Sus scrofa: one gene and its partners. The protein of the gene in region 1 binds, or shares a complex with, the protein of each later gene. Links are inferred from orthologs where the notes say so. Each region holds a gene or a part of one and is shown on either strand. Other genes may lie near its edges.

The links.
Region 2: SMARCA2 (region 1) and SMARCD3 share a complex: the UniProt entries of both Homo sapiens proteins name them as parts of the BAF complex. The link is inferred for Sus scrofa from reciprocal best matches to the Homo sapiens genes SMARCA2 and SMARCD3.
Region 3: SMARCA2 (region 1) and DPF3 share a complex: the UniProt entries of both Homo sapiens proteins name them as parts of the BAF complex. The link is inferred for Sus scrofa from reciprocal best matches to the Homo sapiens genes SMARCA2 and DPF3.

What each region holds. Positions count from the first base shown.
Region 1 is NC_010443.5:219,770,393-219,774,039, forward strand, and holds part of SMARCA2 (probable global transcription activator SNF2L2), read right to left. Parts: intron 2,833-3,647; coding exon 2,659-2,832; intron 1-2,658. UniProt on the Homo sapiens protein: ATPase involved in transcriptional activation and repression of select genes by chromatin remodeling (alteration of DNA-nucleosome topology).
Region 2 is NC_010460.4:5,982,325-5,985,971, forward strand, and holds part of SMARCD3 (SWI/SNF-related matrix-associated actin-dependent regulator of chromatin subfamily D member 3), read left to right. Parts: intron 1-58; coding exon 59-270; intron 271-1,941; coding exon 1,942-1,984; intron 1,985-2,195; exon of another isoform or gene 2,196-2,292; coding exon of another isoform or gene 2,293-2,388; intron 2,389-2,776; coding exon 2,777-2,899; intron 2,900-3,035; coding exon 3,036-3,158; coding exon of another isoform or gene 3,159-3,194; intron 3,195-3,405; coding exon 3,406-3,501; intron 3,502-3,630; coding exon 3,631-3,647. UniProt on the Homo sapiens protein: Involved in transcriptional activation and repression of select genes by chromatin remodeling (alteration of DNA-nucleosome topology).
Region 3 is NC_010449.5:95,981,849-95,985,495, forward strand, and holds part of DPF3 (zinc finger protein DPF3), read right to left. Parts: intron 3,333-3,647; coding exon 3,251-3,332; intron 2,753-3,250; coding exon 2,682-2,752; 3' UTR 1-2,681. UniProt on the Homo sapiens protein: Belongs to the neuron-specific chromatin remodeling complex (nBAF complex).

The DNA.
Region 1 (3,647 bases):
AACATCCCTGGATACCAGTTCAGGGCAAGGTAGCTTTTTTTTTTTTTTTTTTTTTTTTTTTGCTTTTTAGGGCCACACCCTTGGCATATGGAAGTTCCCAGGCTAGGGGTCGAATCAGAGCTATGGCTGCAGGCCTATGCCACAGCCACAGCCACAGCAACATGGGATCTGAGCCACATCTGCGACCTACACCACAGCTCATGGCAACACTGGATCCTTAACCCACTGAGAGAGGCCAGAGATCGAACCCACATCCTCATGGATCCTAGTTGGGTTCGTTAACCACTGAGCCACAAAGGGAGCTCGTGATCAAGCATCTTAAGCCAACTCTTTGTTCTTCTGTGTTTCTTTACCTGCACATAAAGTGTTAAAATTTAACGATTCACCATCTGAAGCCTGTCCTTTGTATTATGGAAATTTCCAAATATAATCAAAAACAGAGAAAATAACATAATTTCTCAGAGAACCAACACTAAGCAACAAAAATTAACTCATGATGACTCTGGTTTCATTGCTATCCTTCTCCCACCCTCTCACTGCAATCCCAAACTGGGCTGTCCTAAGCAAATTCCAGACATAATCTTTCATTCGTAAGTATTTTGATAAGTATTTCCAGGGGAACGAATTGAACAGGCTTTGCACAAATAATTTCTTTTTGTTTGTTTGTTTTCGTCTTTTGTCTTTTTAGAGCCGCACCTACAAGTATATGGAGGTTCCCAGGCTAGGGGTCAAATAGGAGCTGTGGCCTCTGGCCTTCGTCACAGCCACGGCAATGCGGGATCCCAGCTGTGTCTGTGACTTAAACCAAAGTTTATGGCAACGCCAGATCTTTAACCCACTGAGCAAGACCAGGGATCGAACCTCTGGTTGCTAGTTGGGTTTGTTAACCACTGAGCCACAACAAGAACTCCAAAAATAACTTCTTATACTTAAAAAGTGTTACAAACATTGCTGTTGATAGGAAAGGTCCAATTAGAGGGACGTTGGTCTCAGACTGGCACTGCAGGATTGACTGGGGACAAGTCATTGAGCATCTGAGGGCTGATATTGCTGAGCCATGAAACAGACACAGTAATTCCCACTTCTACTTCTGATTAAGCAGCATTATGAGGTTAAATGGAATAAAAACTCTAATGTACCCTGGAAGATTTCAAGAGAAATCTTCACATATCCCAAGAAAAGGACATCTAACAAACATTTTCTTCACATGATACAGAATAAAAGGGACACACTGCAAAATCTTTAAGAAGCAGCTCCATTCCAGAGAAGCATAGGGTTTTCAGCCAGAGGTGTCACTCTAGCATTTGACTGCATGACAGTGGCTTCATCACTCCGTTTAGCTGCTGTCTGCCCCATGGATGAGCGTGAATCTCAAATGCTATTATAACTCTAATTGCTTTTGGCTATGGTTGATTTCACTTGAAGAAAGAGTGATAAAAAACTTCAGTTTCTCTGTTATCTGTATATTCCATCATTTAATTGCAAAAATTAATGATTTGCAAATGCCTAATCATTAGTGTCAAACCAATCTGTTACTGAAGTTCTAATTTAGTTTCACTTCAGTTGAATCAGACAAATTTGACTGCTTACTGCTCAAATTACTATAAAATGGTCTCCCCAGCTAGTTAGCGATCTCTTGGACAGTCTCCTCCCTCCCCCAAAAAGGAGAGGAAATCAGGAGGAGATGGTAAGATTTACTAGTACCTGGCCACAGAGCCTTTGAAAATATGGTGTTTACTCTCTGAAATCCAAAAAAAAAAAAAATGAATGACAACACAATGCAAACCGTAATACTATCAAGGAAGACTGTGTCACTTAGAATTTTCCAGGGACATAATTATGGGTTAAGGCTAATGATTTTATCTTCATCCAATACTCAGGCATTATGTTCCAGAAAGAATGTACAGGTCTCCTATCAAAAGATATCACACACAGTTTTCTAAAACCCACAGTGTGCTCTGAGGTCCAATTCCAAAAATAAATGGTCAATAAAACCAAATATGCGGGTCAGTGATATAAGCCGATCCCTTCTAGGTTTATACATCTACTAGAAAATAAAAGTGGAAATGAAGTGATTCATGAACAGCCTTTGACAGTAACGGGACTATAACCAAAAGAGCAACATTTCAAGATTAACTTAAAAGTCACTTTTTACACTGTTAGAGAAAAATTCTTGCCACTTAAAAAAAAAAAAAAAAAAAAAAGCACCCAAGGCTTCAAAAAAAGAGAACTTCTTACATTCTAGGATACAACTTAATGAGATCTTCATTCAAAACAACTTCTGTCATTAGTCTCCAAGAGGTAATCCTTTAAAAAAAAAAAAAAAGTCGTTTCTATCCTTCCAGGTCTGCTTATCGAAACTCCTGCAATATACAGCACCTGCCTTTATGTGAGAAGCTATCATCTGAACAGCAGTGCCACCCTAGGACATGGAAATACTATACTCATCAGCAGTAGCCCTAGATTTGTGGCACTGCATTGTCTACGAAAGAGAAGATATTTTTACTCCACCCTGTGAAGTTCAAAGGAATGAATTAACATGTTTGATAAGCAGCTTCTACTTTCTCCTTCAAATATGGCATGTTTAACAATCTCAGTATAGACAGGTCGGCGGGGGGGGGGGGGATTTTCCTGGATTCCTGTAGGCAAGCCCCTTACCATCAATCTCCTCATTCTCTCTTTTTCAATCCGCTCGGTCTCTTTCTTCTGTTCCCTTTCGGTGTTGGCATGCCAAGTGGCCACTGCCTTGGAAAGCTTCTGGATCTTCCCTGCCACAGATCGATGATACTCCTTAAAATCTTTTGCATGTTGCAAAATACTGTTCAGGTATTCCTAAAGGATTCAGAGCAGGGAGAAGGAATGCTTAAAACCCAGTTTCCAATATCATATAAGGTTTCAACATAGTCCAGGAAAACTCTCAGTGTGGACCAAAAAGCGAGGGAAAACTAAAACCTATTTTGAGATAGATACCATGGTATGTCTCCACAGCTTAGGTGTGGACTACACATGGTAGAATAGATGATTTCTCAAAGTTTTTTAGTTTTGGTTTGTTTTTTGTCTTTTTAGGGCTGCTCCCATGCATACAGAGGTTCCTAGGCTAGGGGCTGAATCAGAGCTGCAGCTGTCATCCTACTCCACAGCCACAGCAACGCCAGATTCAAGGTGGCACATCTGCAACCTAGGCCACAGCTCACGGCAACACTGGATCTTTAACCCACTGAGCAGGACCAGGGATTGAACCCATGTAGCGTTCATTACTGCTGAGCCACAACTCCTCAAAGCTTGTTTTGATGCCAGCCTATGGAAGAGAAGCCTCCCAGGCCTTGAAGGCATGGGTACATGACAATGGAAAGATCAAAGATGGAGAGGAACCCACAAAATGGTGACGACAAAATTTAAAGCAAATAACATTCAAATAAACCTTGGGGAGAGGAGTCCCTCCAGTGAGAATCATGTTATAGAAGTAGTGTTTCTTCTCCTCTAACTTAAATACTTCAGAATTGTGACTCAAAATAAGTTTTATAGGAAGGTAAAATCACCAGACATAATTTGTGTCTGCTTTTTAAATAAAGGAGAGGAAACGCATAACTGTATTTACACGAAAGTCCAACACTTTTCAAAACAAAACTAAGCATTGCAGAAATTAA
Region 2 (3,647 bases), on another chromosome or scaffold:
CCCTGGTCTGACCCGCGGGCGCCCGTTTCTGCTTCCCCCCCACCCCACGCCTCCCCAGCGCCCCGGGATGCCGTCTGGAGCCCGGATGCCCCACCAGGGGGCGCCCATGGGCCCCCCGGGCTCCCCGTACATGGGCAGCCCCGCCGTACGACCCGGCCTGGCCCCCGCGGGCATGGAGCCCGCCCGCAAGCGAGCAGCGCCCCCGCCCGGCCAGAGCCAGGCCCAGAGCCAGGGCCAGCCGGTGCCCACCGCCCCCGCGCGGAGCCGCAGGTAAGTGGGACCCAGCGCCGAGGGGGCGGGCCGCCGGACCCGCAGGGAAGGGGTGGGCGGGGAGCCGGATTGGAAGCGGGGGGAGGAGTGATCGGCAGGGGACAGGCGTCCTGGGTGGGGTGCCCTCTCGGGAGGTGGGCTGAGGGGGCACTGGTCCGATTCCTTTGTGTGCCCACCGTAGAGACAGGCTGCGGCCGTCACGCCCTTCCTCCTTGTCACCTGCTCTGTGCCTCTCTCCACCCCTTGTCCCCAGGCTCTGGGTGATGCTTCAGGCTGTGGGGTGGAGGCGGGGCTGACTGAGGGCAGAGCTTTAGAGACCGTTTCTTGGTGTGGTTGTCCAATGCGCCTTCCTCAGAGTCCCCGGCCTGACTGTTGAAAAGCCCACTCCAGATCTTCTTCATCTGAATTAAGGGTGGAGCCGGGGAATGTGCCCTTTGGATGGGCAGTCTCTGCCCGGGGGTGCTCTCAGGTGATTCTTAGGCACGCGAACGTTGGAGAGGTGCCATAATCTGCCCTCTGGACCACCTCTGCCCCCAAACCACCAAGGACCAGCCTGTTTCCTTGTCTGAGCCAGCTGGTGGCACCCCAAAAGCCCCTGCTGGTGCCTGGCAAGAGAGATACCCCTCTGGGTTTCACTATTAAGCCAAACACACATGCTTCCCTTTGCACACCAGATGGAGTCCTATAAAAGGCACAATATGGATTTTACCTCATTATTAAATATTTTTTACTTATCGAGGAAAATTCACCCTCTATAGGAATCTTATGATGAGTTCTGTTGCAGAGTGAGTCGTTCTTTTATACAGTAAAAAAAAGTCCCTGATTTAGCTCGTATAAATGAAGAGTTTTACCTAATGTGTTCAGGACAAATTAGACCTTTAATGAAAGCTGCTTGTCCGGCCTTAGAATTGATTTGGGGACAGGTAGGGGCAGGGGTGGAGAACACCACACGGGGGCAGTATGCAGCCATCCTCTAGGCTGGGTTCTAATTTCTACTCGCCAAGGATTTTCTGAGGTGCTTTTGGGAGTCAGGAGCAGCTAGTGGATCAAGAGGTGACCAAGTCCCAGCCGCTACTGCAGGTGCAGCCCACAGCTACACCCGACAGGAGACACCCAAACCCACTCCCTCTGCATACCCATGGGTGTGTCCCTGGGCACCCCCTGCCCATCAGGGTCCCCTTCAAAGCCCAGGGTGACAGAGATGCAAGTCCTCACCAGCTTTACACCATCCCTTCCTGCTCCAGGGATGGGGCAGGGGGCCGGCTCCCCTCCCTCTGAGCTCAGGCCACCTTGGACTGTGCACCCCTGCTTAGCAGAAAAGGAAAGTCCTCAGAATCCAACCTCCTTCTCCTCTGACCTCCCCCCTCCCCAGCTGCCCCCAAGCACTTCTGCAGCTCCCCTACCACCAGCCCCTTCTGAGTCTAATTTCTCTGGCCCCTCGGATGTGGTGGAGCAGAAGAGGGGCTCCCGGGCTAGAGAAAGGACGGGGTCACCTCTGCTCCCTATGAGAGGACAGAGCACCAGTGCTGCACACCACCATCGTAGCCCCTTGGGCAGGCTGTGGGAACCCCAGCCAGGCGGGCTGAGATGTCGGGATAATTTAGCAGGTGGCCTCGTTACTCCCAGATCTGTCGCCATGGTAACGTGGTTTTTTCTTTAAAAAATGTACAGTGCCAAGAGGAGGAAGATGGCTGACAAAATCCTCCCTCAAAGGGTGAGTGCCTTTCACAGCAGCCCCCAGCCACCCCCCACCCTTTGCTGCTCCGCCCTCCTTCCCCCTCCCCTCCCCCCCCCCCCCCCCCCCGGTCTCCTCCCCTCCCCCCTCAGGAGCAGATCTTCTGCCTCACAATCACTTTCACTTTTTGTTTAAAAAGCTAATTAAGAAGTGAGGCTCTCCAGGCCAGAGGGAGGGGGTGGGGCGAAGGGAAGAAGCCGAGCCATAGGGGGCAGGATACTGGGTCTGGGGTGCAGTGGATTGAATGCCAGCGGTGTGAAGACATAAAGGCATGAGACAAAGAGGGGATGAGAGCTCAGGGATCAGAGGCTGGCAAGGGGAGTGAAGGGAACAGAAGCTGGCCAGGAGACCCGGGCATCATAAGAGGACCCAGGCTGAGTTGGGTATGGACTTAGCGTGCTTGAGACATCAGGTGGAGCAACTGGGTGAGGTGCCAGGGTAGAGGCAAGCAGCGACTTCCCCTGTCTCAGGGAGCCCAGGACCCGAGGGGAGCCCAGAGGCCGGAGGACCAGTGAAAGGACAGGATGAAGAGGTGGAGCCCTTGCTGGGCTCTGTGGTCTCTCCGGCTTGTGCCCCACACGATGAAATGCACGACTCTTTCTAGCGGGAGAAGCAGTTTTTATCCCTACGTGTCAAGCCCCTGGGGAGAGGTCTCCCGGCCTCTCAAACTTCCACCCCCGAACCAGGCGCTCCCCGCCACTCTGTTCTGGGACCATCTGACACCTGCAAGATTGGCTGAGCCCCTGGTTCCCTGCCTTGCTCTTCTTCCAGATCCGAGAGCTGGTCCCAGAGTCCCAGGCTTACATGGACCTCCTGGCGTTTGAGAGGAAACTGGATCAAACCATCATGCGGAAGCGGGTGGACATCCAGGAGGCTCTGAAGAGGCCAATGAAGGTGTCTTGGTTCGGGGGCGGGAAGAGGGCGCTGAGTCCTATGCCCAGAGCAGAGAAGCGGGCTGGCCCTGGCACGGGGCGTGGGGGGACGGGGAGCCCCCAGTGTTCCCTCTGTACTACACTCTTTATTTCTACAGCAAAAGCGGAAGCTACGTCTTTATATCTCCAATACTTTTAACCCTGCGAAGCCTGATGCAGAGGATTCGGATGGCAGCATAGCCTCCTGGGAGCTGCGGGTGGAGGGGAAGCTCCTGGATGACGTACGTCCTGGCCCAGGTCTCTCCAGGTGTCCTGGGGTGGGTATGGGGCTGAGCTGAGGCCAGGCCCAGACGTTTGCCCGGAGGGTTAGGGTGACAGCCCTGGCCAGGGGTGGGGGGTCTGGAGAGACCTCTGGTGCCGAGGCCTGCTGCTAACTGTGCTGCCCTCCCCGACCAGCCCCCCCCACTCCCAACGCGCTCCACCCCCGCGCTCCCTGTTCCGTCCCCACGGTCCGTTCCTCTCCCACAGCCCAGCAAGCAGAAGCGGAAGTTCTCGTCCTTCTTCAAGAGTTTGGTCATTGAGCTGGACAAAGACCTCTATGGCCCTGACAACCACCTGGTGGAGGTGAGACCCAGAGCCCTTCTGCCCTTGAACAGCCTCCCCCCCTGCAGACCACGGTCCCACCGGCCGCAGCCTGGGATCAGGGAGCCCCGGTGGGCCTGTGAGGTGACCCAGTTCTCCTCTCCGGGACAGTGGCACCGGACGCCCAC
Region 3 (3,647 bases), on another chromosome or scaffold:
ACTATGGAAAAGACAGGACAAGTCTTATTACCTCCATTTCACAGACAGGCAAACTGAGGTTCCGAGATGTTAAGTGACTTGCCCAAGGTCACGCAGCTACTCGATGGCCGGGGCAAAATGAAAACCCTGACCATCCACATGCACCTTGTGATATTCTGGCTCTTTCTCTGGGGCCCAAATAAAGAGCAATGTGAAGTTGACCAACACCTTCCTTTTTTCAGTACAGAAGGCGATAAAGGTGACCGTCACTTTTGTTTGCTTGCAGTATCCTGCAGGTGCCACCCACAAACTGGCTTTGCTGCCCCCACTTTCCACGTAGAAACTGAGGTCTCTGAGAAGGAAGGGGTCAGGCCCATCCTGCGGGAGTGAAACCAGGAAGGGAACTCTGGGCCTTCCTGATGTCCAGTCCAGAGCCCTGGCCACCCTCACCCCTGCAGGAGGTTACAGCGCCCTCCTTGGCCTGCAAGCTGTCACAGCAGGCACGCCTGGAGAGAGAACAGGACCACCCCATCATCTGCCTTGAGCTGGGGAACAGATGTGCAAATGCTCTAAAGGGGTCTGTCACCTGGAGGGCCACTGTTTTGGTTTCAGATTTGATTTTTTTTTTTTTTAACTTTTAAGCCATTCGTGGCTTTTGATGACTGATGTGAACATTTCGATGACTTTCTTCCTAAAATTAAACCAAAGTGATTTTCAAAACCAATAACCAGCCTTTGAGGACACCCACTTCGGGGTCTGTGGGAAGACAGAGAGCCGGAGCGATCCGTAGGGGAAATCTGTCCTCCGACGAGACCCTCCCAGATAAAGGGGTGATGAGACCACACGGCCACTTCCCAAACCCTCTCTGGGCCTCCAGAATCCCCAACAGGTTCACCAAGCAGCAGGGGAAGGAAGTATCCTGCAATGAAGATGAAAATCCCATCTGCTGGGGCCCTTAAACGAGATCATCACATATGGGTGGAACTCCCTCCACGGGGCCCCTGCAGGAAAGGGACCCCCTTCTCTCACCACGGGTCACCCTGCCAAGGACGGGGGAGATCAGCATGGCTCGGCTCCGTGCCAGGCTGCCCTGGGTCTGCGGGCCAAGAGCAATTAGCCCGGAAGGCGGGCTCTTGGCAAGTCCGAACGCTGCGGCCGGACAGGAGGGGCCCAAGTGGCCGGAGCCTCCGGGCCTCCAGGGGCTTCTTCAGGAGCCGAAGGACAGAAATAACCCGGGTCTTTGTTGTAAGCAGCCGGCCACGGAGATGGAGCTGATTTCAGGGAAGCCGAGCATGCGCCAGGGTCCCGCTCACCGAGACCTGCCCTTTGGGCAAATGAGTTTTCCAGAAACGTGTCAGTTATTGTGTGTCGCTGCTGTGGCCCCTGCCGCAGAGAGGCAAAGGCAACCCGGTCTGCTCCAGCCCCCGGGGCTGACTTCTAACACAGACTTCCTGGAACAGCTCTTTCTTCTCGAAACACTCGTTCAAAAGGAGAGTTTGGCATCTAGTGGGGAGCGTAGGAGACCAGGGCAGCCCTCGGGCTGAGGGTTCTGTGTGACTCTCATCCTGGTCATAAGCTATCACATCACCCCAGTTCTTTGTCGAGGGGACCCTCCTTTCTCCCCGATCCTGAAATTTCCAGAATCAGTTCTCAGTGGGCAATGACACACACACACACACACACACGATGCAGAGGGAAGGAATTACTCGGGAAAGGAATTCGCAGTGTCACATCAATACTGCAGAGTTTCTCAGCGGCCGTGCTTGGTACCGTCATCCAGACTCTTGACCTGGCAGCCCTTTCACTCACCTTCCTGGTTCCTGAGTCCCAGTCGGGGAAGCTCCAGACCCAGGCTGAGTGGAAGGCTGAGTTTTGGCGTCTTCCTCTGCCACAGGCTCCCTCTCCTCTCCTCAAGGAGGCCCCAGCTCCAAGGGGCTGGTCCCTGGCAAAGCTGCACGATGGACAGCAAATACTGACCGGCTCCAGCGGGGCCTCTGAATTATCTCAACATTTCTACCTGCCCCTCCCTGCTGCCCCCTCCCTCCCCAGCCCCATCCAGAGACCACCAGGCTGTGGACACCCCTGGACATCCAAGGGGGGCCCAAAAAGCAGCTCTTCCTCTTCACAGAGACCAAGGAGCAAGGAAGGATTTCAGGGCTCCTTCGTCTAGATGGCCTCCGGGCTCCGAGTCTAGAAGTTTCCAGGGAGGCTTGTAATAAATAAAAACTTCTCCACAGCCCTTTGCTCCTGGGCTGAGTTCAGGATGAAGAGACTAAGCTGGGGGCAGGGAGGCTGGGCGAAGATATCTCGGAACACAATAGATAGAAACACCAAACTGCACATGAGGGACAGATGGGTCGTCACAGGGTGCCCAGTGGTTCTTTGCGACGGGGACCAGTGCGAGCAACGCAGGGCTGGGGTGAGGGCGAGGGGCCTCCATGGGGCTGCGGCTGGGCTCGTTCTTCGAAAGTTTCCCATCTTTCTGGCAGAAACAAGGGGGTGCTGGCTGAGTACGGAGACCCGTGTGTAGGAGGTGAGCGGACCCCTCACCCTCTTGCTTCCATGTGTCCACGCCCTCTGTGGTCACTGATGTTCCTAACAGTTGGTCTGTCTGGATATATGGGAGTAGGGGCTCGATCTGGTTTGAACCGGGCTCAGGTTCAGCCTCTCCGGCAGCAAGTCACATCCCGTGACCTGGGGCCCTAGGCCTGGCAGCCGAAGGCCGAGGCTTTTTCTTTGAGCAGTTCCCAGCATAAGTGGCAGCTCCAGCTCCCTGTAAGAAACGAGATGGTGTTACTGGCTGCCCCTCTCCAACCCCTGGGCCCTAAACCCTTTGCAAGCCCTCTTTTATTGGACTTGCATGATTCAGAGAGGAGGCCCAGGCCTGAAAACGTTCTGAAGTCTGTCCCTCAGCTGAGAAAACAGTAAGTGCTCGGAGATGGTCAGCTGACTGCTGGAAGGACCAGCCCTCTTGGCTGTGCCTTTTAACCAGCATCCCTGGGTCTCCCCTTTCCCCTAGAAGCTCACACCTCCCCTCATCTCAGCCGTATGTCTGGGAATCATCTCTCTGGCCCTCAAGTTGAAATCTCTGGTTGAAGCTGTGCCTCAGTTTCTTCATCTGTAGCATGGTAGTGGTCGCACTGACCTCGTAGGGTTGTGATGATTAAATGAGACAAGACATGTCAAGCCCTTAGCACGAGGCCTGCACAGTAGCGAGGGCTCGGTAAGTGGTGGAAGTAGCTGTTGTTTTTGTCAACCCCATCATCCTTACCTTCTGGGGGTTCAGCCACTGGAGGATTTAAACAGTACATGTGATAGCCGCGGTCACAGTCATCGCAGAAGAGCAGCTGGTCCTAGTGGAACGCACAGAAGGTGGAGAGGAGGAAAGACTGAGTTATTCAGAACCAACATCTGCCCACGCCTCCAGCCATATTTTCATCATCCATCTTCCAGGCCCCATTTGGGGTCGTCACTGTCCCCTGAACATGCTTTGTGCTTTGCCCACATCTGGAATCCCCCCTCTATCTCCCGAACTATACGCATCCTACCCCCACATAAGAGTTCTCAAATCATAGCTCCTCCAAGAAGCCCTCCCAGAGCACCATTGCACAACCAAGCTTAAAGGGATCCCTTGTCCTTCTGAACCCTCATAGCCAATGACTCAGCCT